2 linked regions of the Mytilus edulis genome follow. The main gene of each other region encodes a partner of the protein of the gene in region 2 in a complex. Links are inferred from orthologs where the notes say so. Each region holds a gene or a part of one and is shown on either strand. Other genes may lie near its edges.

Region 1 (3,760 bases), on a different chromosome or scaffold from region 2:
TTATTTACCTTTCACGATGTTTTAATGTTGTTGAAGAACTGAAATAATATCCTCAGATATCGTAGATTTTAATAGAAACATTGATTTCAACTGTTAAGAACGGCAAATAGCGTAAAATTGCGGCTTTTATTGGGACAATATTTATGTATCCTGAAAGATACACTCGCCCTGCGCATCGTGTATCCTCAAGGATACATCCGCCCTGCGCATTGTGTATCCTCAAGGATACACTCGCCGCGAAAGGGTTAAAATTAGAAAGATCATATCATAGGGAACATGTGTACCAAGTTTGAAGTCGATTGGACTTCAACTTCATCAAAAACTACCTCGACCAAAAACTTTAACCTGAAGCGGGACAGACGGACGGACGGACGCACAGACCAGAAAACATAATGCCCCTCTACTATCGTAGGTGGGGCATAAAAATGAAATTGGTATTGCGCGTTCCTTCCTATTTTATACTAGACTGATAAATATATATTTTACTCAAAGTTTCATACAAACGAGACCGGAAAAAGGAAGTACATTGTACATTTCCGCGCAGGTCCGGGATTTCAAAACACGACAAAAAAAATTTGAACGATTTTGAGTTCATTAGTACAATGAAAAATTCGGGAAATTTTCCCGAATTTTTTTTTTAATTGAATTTTCTACTGTTATTGGGGACTTCGTCCCCATATAAATTTGCAATGAAAATTAGAGTAGACTCGACTTTTAACTAAACTATATATTCTGGAAAATGATAATGAATCCCCTCTACTACAGACTTCTGTGCAAGAACTGAAACTGGTAATTTAAATCTCATATGCAATAGTAAAGGTTCTAAATGCTATTACAGTATATATATTATGAATTTATGATAAATAATAGTGTGTTAAACTTACCTTGGAAATATTTTCCACATACTAAGCATGCATACACATTGATGTGGGACAAGGACACAGAACATAACTTCTCAAAGTCAAAATCAAGAACAGATCTAAAACAAAAAATTTATCAATATAAACCTGTAGTGTTAAAATCTTGTAAGTATAAATTATGCTTCTCATTCATTACTACTATTTTTTTCCCCTTCTAAACAATTCAATTTTGAAATAGTTGTTCAATAATTCATAAACAACTACTGCTGAGTCTGTCTTTCAACACATCTCCAGAGTCAAACAATGAACATGAAAATCAATCAAAGAACTTGAAAAGTATACCATTATTACCCTTGTCCAACAGTGAACATATAAATGGTTTCTGGACAGCATTCAACCAAAAACATTAAAATTTGAAATCAATAAGTTACAGTACATTGTAAATTTTTACAAACATGACCAATACTTCAATTAAAATCAGCAAAATGATGAATTTTGTATAGATTTTTTTATTGAAGATAAATCACCTGAATATTTTGATTGTTGTTTTTTTTCTTGCCACTTCTAGACATAAAATATTGTTTATGGAAAGTAGAATAATATTTGTTCTTACCTATTAATAGTGTCCAAATAAGGACAGATTCTGCTTCTGTCAACTTTAGGGTCCTGTATTGCCGCTACAATATATATGTTTATCATAATTATCTATCTATAAATCATGCAGAGTAAAGCAACCAACAATCAATCAATCTTTCTATAAACATGTGTGACAGGGGGACATTAATTTTTATTTACAATGGAGTGCTACAATGTAACAGAAAGAGCAAATTTACCTGTGTGTAATGTGAGTAATCTTTAATGTTTCCTGATCTTTTAAGTACATTAATTTGTTGTTAAGATAAAAAAATTTGACATCAATCATGAAAAATTAGTTATACCACTGATACATAACTTTCAATTCGTCATGCTTTGCATTGGCAATAGCCAATTTTGTCCGGTATGGAACCAGTCTACGATTGACAAAGGGAAGTAATTTGTTTAAAAAGTGTGCAATAACAGAATCAAATCGGTAATTGGCAAATGGACTATTGAATTCATTCATTGGCAACTCAAGCAATGTCTAACTTGGGTTTAAGTTCAATAACTTTTTCACTTTACAACAGAAATAAAATGACTAAGGGTCAGAGTTCGAAAGCAGGGTGGGTTGAGTAACCGTAAACAGACAATTTTTTGGGAGCCTTATGAGGATGTTATGAAACCCCTTACCATATATATATCATTTTTTAAGTTTTACCAATAAAAGACCTTTTTAATATACCTATTTCCTCATCTTCTTCTTCAATCTTCACTGTTGTCTTTTTACTTGTACTTTTTATTGGTGACTGCTTTTTATCTGCTGATGATTTGGATTCTGTACCCTTTCCTTTTTTCACCTTCTCTTTCTCCTTCTTTTCACTCTTTTTGTCAGATTTTCCAGATTTTTCAGCAGCAGTTATCTCTTTTTTTACTTCTTTTCTTGATTTTTCACTGCCTACAGCTTTATCTGGACTTATTCCACTTTTAGCAACATCTGAAGGGTCTTCGTTTCTTTTAGGTTGGATTACATCAGACTGTCTATTGTCTGAAATTGGCTTGTTTTTTTGTTGACTAGGAGATTTTTCAACCTTAGATGACGAGTCTGTTAGTTTCTGGTCACTGACAACTGTCACCTGGCTGGCAATACGAGATCCCGATTTTTGTGTAGGCTCTTGTTGTGCCTTTGAATGCTCTTCGACAGATGAATCGAGTTTTGGCTTTTTATTTTTTTTAAGAATTGATTTCATGGGGTTGTCATCGTCTTCTTGGACAGTTTCTGGTACATGAGTACGCTTTAATATCGCTCTTGATGAACTTTTTAATTTCGTGCTCAGTTCGTTCGCCGCCATGCCGATATGTGGATGTGAAGTACGTCATTGCATTTGTATAATTCTGATAATTAGTAAACCAATTCCGGAATTTATGAACCGGATTTTGCCTTGTATTAGTTCTCGATTAACAATATAATTATATTGGATTTATTTCCAAGTGCTCCAATATTGGAGGGATTTACGTAAGAAGAAGAAGAAGAATTAGCGATAAAGTGTCAAAATAACTAAATATGGTAAACTGTTTACTTATTGTAAAGAAAACATCAAATACGAATAAAAGTTAAATATGTAAAAAAAGAAAAAAGTGGAACAAAATATATATATAGACATAGAAATTGCCAATGTTTCTAATAACATCACTCAGAAAATCAAAGTTGAAAAGAAAAGAAACATCAAGTTTATTAGATGCTATAATTGTCAGTGTCTTGGCCATCCTGCTAACCAGTGCCAGGACAAAAAACATTGTCACAACTGTGGATCAAATTCCTGCTCAGAAACTTTCTGTACAAAGCCAGCTACCTGTAGAAACTGTCAACAAAATCATAAATCGTCATCATCTCACTGTCCAGCCTTCATCAGATTTATCAACCAACATAAATTTAAAAACTGTATCTAACCATATATATATATTCAACATGAAAATCCTTTTCCTTAATACTCAATCTTTTAAAACAGCAACTGGACTCAAAGAAATTTGTGAAAAATATAATGTTGACATCTTATGTATTAATGAATCCTTTGAATCTGAAAAAAATCCACTCTCATTTGGTTATTGGAAACCAATAACATCACCTAGACCAAATAAAGCAAGGGGAGGATCTGCAATATTTTTAAAGCCAAGCAATCATTTCATAGGACAAAGACAGGAACATTTGGAACTAAAAGACATTGAAATGGTCAGTATCGAGGTAAAAGACAGCAAAAACAAAACATTTCATCCGTACATCCCACCAGAAAAACCAGAGTTAATGAAAAAGCTTTGTACACATATTG
Region 2 (3,760 bases):
CTCTTGACTTCATCTTTTGTTAATTATGATGATTTATCCCATGTAAATTTAAACTATTCATGAAAGTATCAAGTTATTATTTTGTTACATGTACATGATGTACAATTTAAAAATGAAAGCTACATCTTCTTGAATTAAATACAAAATGTAGGATGTACATGTATGAGTACATCAAGAAGTAAAAAAAAAACAACAAAAAAAATAAATTAATAAAAGTAAAATTAAACCTTATGGTTTCACATAATCTTATACCTAGTCCCTAGCCTCACCGGACACAGTTACGAACGATTTTTGAATTTAAATTTTTTTTTTCTTTGTAGCATACTTTTCGTGAATTGTTTGTACCATAGAATTAAAGATGTATGAAGGCTTTCATTTTGAGTCATAACACACATAATTTTCTATTTACGTTTGGATACTTTAGTAAGATTTGCATGACCTGGTTTTATGGGTCTAGCAAGCCCAATATGGACGCAATTATGAAGGGCACTATATTTATATATAGATCTGGCAACCGATCTAAATTAATGAAACCTACATTAATCTTATCTTAAACACATTTCCTAAGAAAATAAGAAGTGTAATATGGTATTTTACTTCAAATTCTTCAGCAGTAGTTGCAGACAAAATTAGTGACAAAAAAAAATCTTTAAAAAGGAAATACAATGTATTTTGGATTTTTTTGTTTTTATGAAAGTTGTTTCGTCTAAGATGCACTGAATTCTCCTTTTAGTTAGTGAACCTATGATTTTAATTTATATTTAACCATTACTTTCAGAGTTCTCCGGACTTTTTATTAAAAATACTATTTTCTTCTGACAATGCCCTGGCCCCAGGGTCATGAGAGTCTGAGAAAACGTTCATTTTTGGATTATTTGGACAAGATTAAGAACATCACGCATATGAACAGATTCAGGAGATATTTTTCTATCTATATTAAGACAAAAGAAGGCAATTTGCACTAGCTAGTGTGCTTTATTCATGCAATTTCTAAGAGAGGGAGTAATTATTTTGACATTTAAGAAATTGAATTTTTCATCGTCTGCAACATTAACCAATTGCACATGAACTTTTTTTTCATGAAAACACAAGTAATGTAGTGGATTTTTTATTAATAGAATCATTTATCAATTATCATGCATAAATATTAATATCAGGGGCCAAACATTAAAAATCGTGTCCAGTCGTAATTGCGTCCAGTAAGGCTAAATAATTTGGACACCATACAGCAGATTTGCCCTAGCTTGTCTGGCGCAAAGGAGAAAATCTGCACCTTGCGACAAATTTTTTGTGCTACATTTTTAATAAAGATTTATTTAAAGTCGGTTATACATACATGTATAACAATTAAAATATTAATAGGCCTTAAGATTGAGGACCTCAGCATGCTCAGAGTAATCTGGGACTAGAATATACTATGCATGGGTCAATAGCTAGGGTAACCCTTTAGAAGGGTTAGAACTTAAATATAAAACTTTTTTAAAAAGCCGGTTTATTGGACGACAGAAATTATACCTTTATACCTTTATCTTCGGGTCGTTACATAAGCCAAAGGCTTCTACTGACCCCTCATCTTGGATTGTCGTATATGATTTCTCATCTCATTATAATATATTTATATATAATAAGACTCTCTACATTTTATGTTTTTATCATAACGACCCTGCATACCCTCGGGTATCCACTTTATGGACTCTACCGTACTACAGACTCACCAGGCGTTGGTTCACTTTCGTTTGTAATTGATTTATATATAATATATTAAACTTATCAAAAAATACTTATTTAGGTGTGCGCAGCTGAAACACTTAACACGAACATATGAATTTATATAGGTTCCAATTTACGCCATTTAATGCAGACTTAAAACTATTCAGAGTCTTTGCCGTCACCGTTAAATCTGACAGGTTATTCCACTGATCCACTACTCTAATTGAAAAAGTATTTAGTCTATGTGTGGTCTTACACTGTTTTTTTAAAAAGTTTTAATGAGTGACCTCTAGTATTATTAGATGGTGCTAAAGTAAATAGGCTCATCCAGTCGATGTCATCTATACCATGCAACGCTTTGTAGACTTGTATCATATCATTCCTATCCCTACGATATTCCAAAGTTGGCAAACCCAATGAACGTAACCTGTCTTCATAATTAAGATGACAATTATTTTTTAACAGCTTTGTGGCCCTTCTTTGTACAGATTCCAATTTGCGAATGTCTTTTTTAAGATACGGTGACCAGACGCATGTCGCATATTCTAGCAGTGGACGAACTATTGATTTATAAATAGTAAGAAACATATCTTGATCCATGTAATCAAAAGAATGATTGATAAGAGACAGCACTCTTTGGGCTTTGTTATAAATATCACTTATATGTTTTTCAAATTTCAAATTAGACTCGAAAGTTACTCCCAGATCCTTTTCTTCGTTCACTGTAGATAATGCAATAAAATTTATAGGCAATTACCATCTGCAATACTGATTTTTCTTGAGACCCATAGGCTACCAGATCTGTTCTTGGCTTTTTAAAAGGGACCATGGCACTGTCTCCTGCTTTTCGTTTGATGTCCATTGTTATTTAAACAACGGAGTGGGAAAATGTAAGAGTATTTTTGTTTTCAACAAAATCACGCCGAACAGAAGGAAGTTGTACAGACCACACTAAAAGTTTATTCACAGCCGGAATAGGTTTCCGGGATTTCTCTGCCGCAATTATGAACAACTCGTCCCATTATTAAATCGCCCTAGGCCTACTCGACCAACATATGTCAAACTCGTCCACTTTTTATAAACTCGACCTTATTTAGATGTTTTCTGATTTCACATGATACAGACACTTAAGACAGACAAACCTGCACACTCGACCAAATTATATTAAAAAAAAGAAGAAAAGGATAAATATAGTTCGAAAAGTGTAGATATACAACTTCCATTTTTTAGGATACATTTTAACATTTTATTTCTTGATAATTTATGCATTAAATATTAAGTACGGGGATGAAATTGCCTGTTAAAAAATGGGTGCTAAATCTTTATGATAAGTAGTGATTTGATCCAGTAAAAAAAAGGTCAAAAATTAGTACGTCTAAAGCTATATATATCAAACTGAATTTTAAACCCCTAAACACAGAATTGTCAATATTTTGAGTAAGAGTTGGTAGAACTTTCTATAACTTTGTTATCATTTGTCTACTTAGTAAAACACTACACTGTAACAATCTTATTGAGATAGAGCAGGTTCGATTTTTTTAATTTGAATTTATTGTCTAAAAGAAGTGCACTACGGAATATCTGTGTTCTCGGGCCATTTTAAGTACCGCTGAAACAAAATCTAACAAATCACCCAAACTATGACATCATCTGCAGATAATATGAATAAGAATAGATAACAAAGCATATCATAATATACAGCTGAAACAAGAACTGTCTATCATAATGAGCTGCGCCATCTGCGCATGATGCACCTGTCACTATTTTAGCTCTTCGAACAAGGTTTCATAAATCAGCTATGTCAAATCAGACCAATAAATCTCCAAAGTTTTATGGAAACTGTTTTCAGTTATTGTCCGGTAGCTGGAAAGTTCCCCCTTTTTTATGAATAAAGTTCAAATACTCCAAAACGTTAATTCAGATTCGTTTTTAAAATCGAACGAGAAAATTGTGTCAATTATATGTATATGTATATACTAAAGTATAAACGATTCTCTAAGTTTCGTGAAAATTGCTCAAAGCATTTTTGACTTATAGTAAAACAAGAATG

Evidence for each region. The genes of interacting proteins can lie anywhere in the genome.
Region 1: U5 small nuclear ribonucleoprotein 40 kDa protein-like (region 2) and ubiquitin carboxyl-terminal hydrolase 39-like share a complex: the UniProt entries of both Homo sapiens proteins name them as parts of the U4/U6-U5 tri-snRNP complex. The link is inferred for Mytilus edulis from reciprocal best matches to the Homo sapiens genes SNRNP40 and USP39.

What each region holds. Positions count from the first base shown.
Region 1 is NC_092352.1:16,013,178-16,016,937, forward strand, and holds the start of ubiquitin carboxyl-terminal hydrolase 39-like, read right to left. Parts: upstream 2,823-3,760; 5' UTR 2,786-2,822; coding exon 2,179-2,785; intron 1,538-2,178; coding exon 1,474-1,537; intron 980-1,473; coding exon 885-979; intron 1-884.
Region 2 is NC_092355.1:11,840,373-11,844,132, forward strand, and holds the start of U5 small nuclear ribonucleoprotein 40 kDa protein-like, read right to left. Parts: upstream 2,672-3,760; 5' UTR 2,573-2,671; coding exon 2,468-2,572; intron 1-2,467. UniProt on the Homo sapiens protein: Required for pre-mRNA splicing as component of the activated spliceosome. Component of the U5 small nuclear ribonucleoprotein (snRNP) complex and the U4/U6-U5 tri-snRNP complex, building blocks of the spliceosome.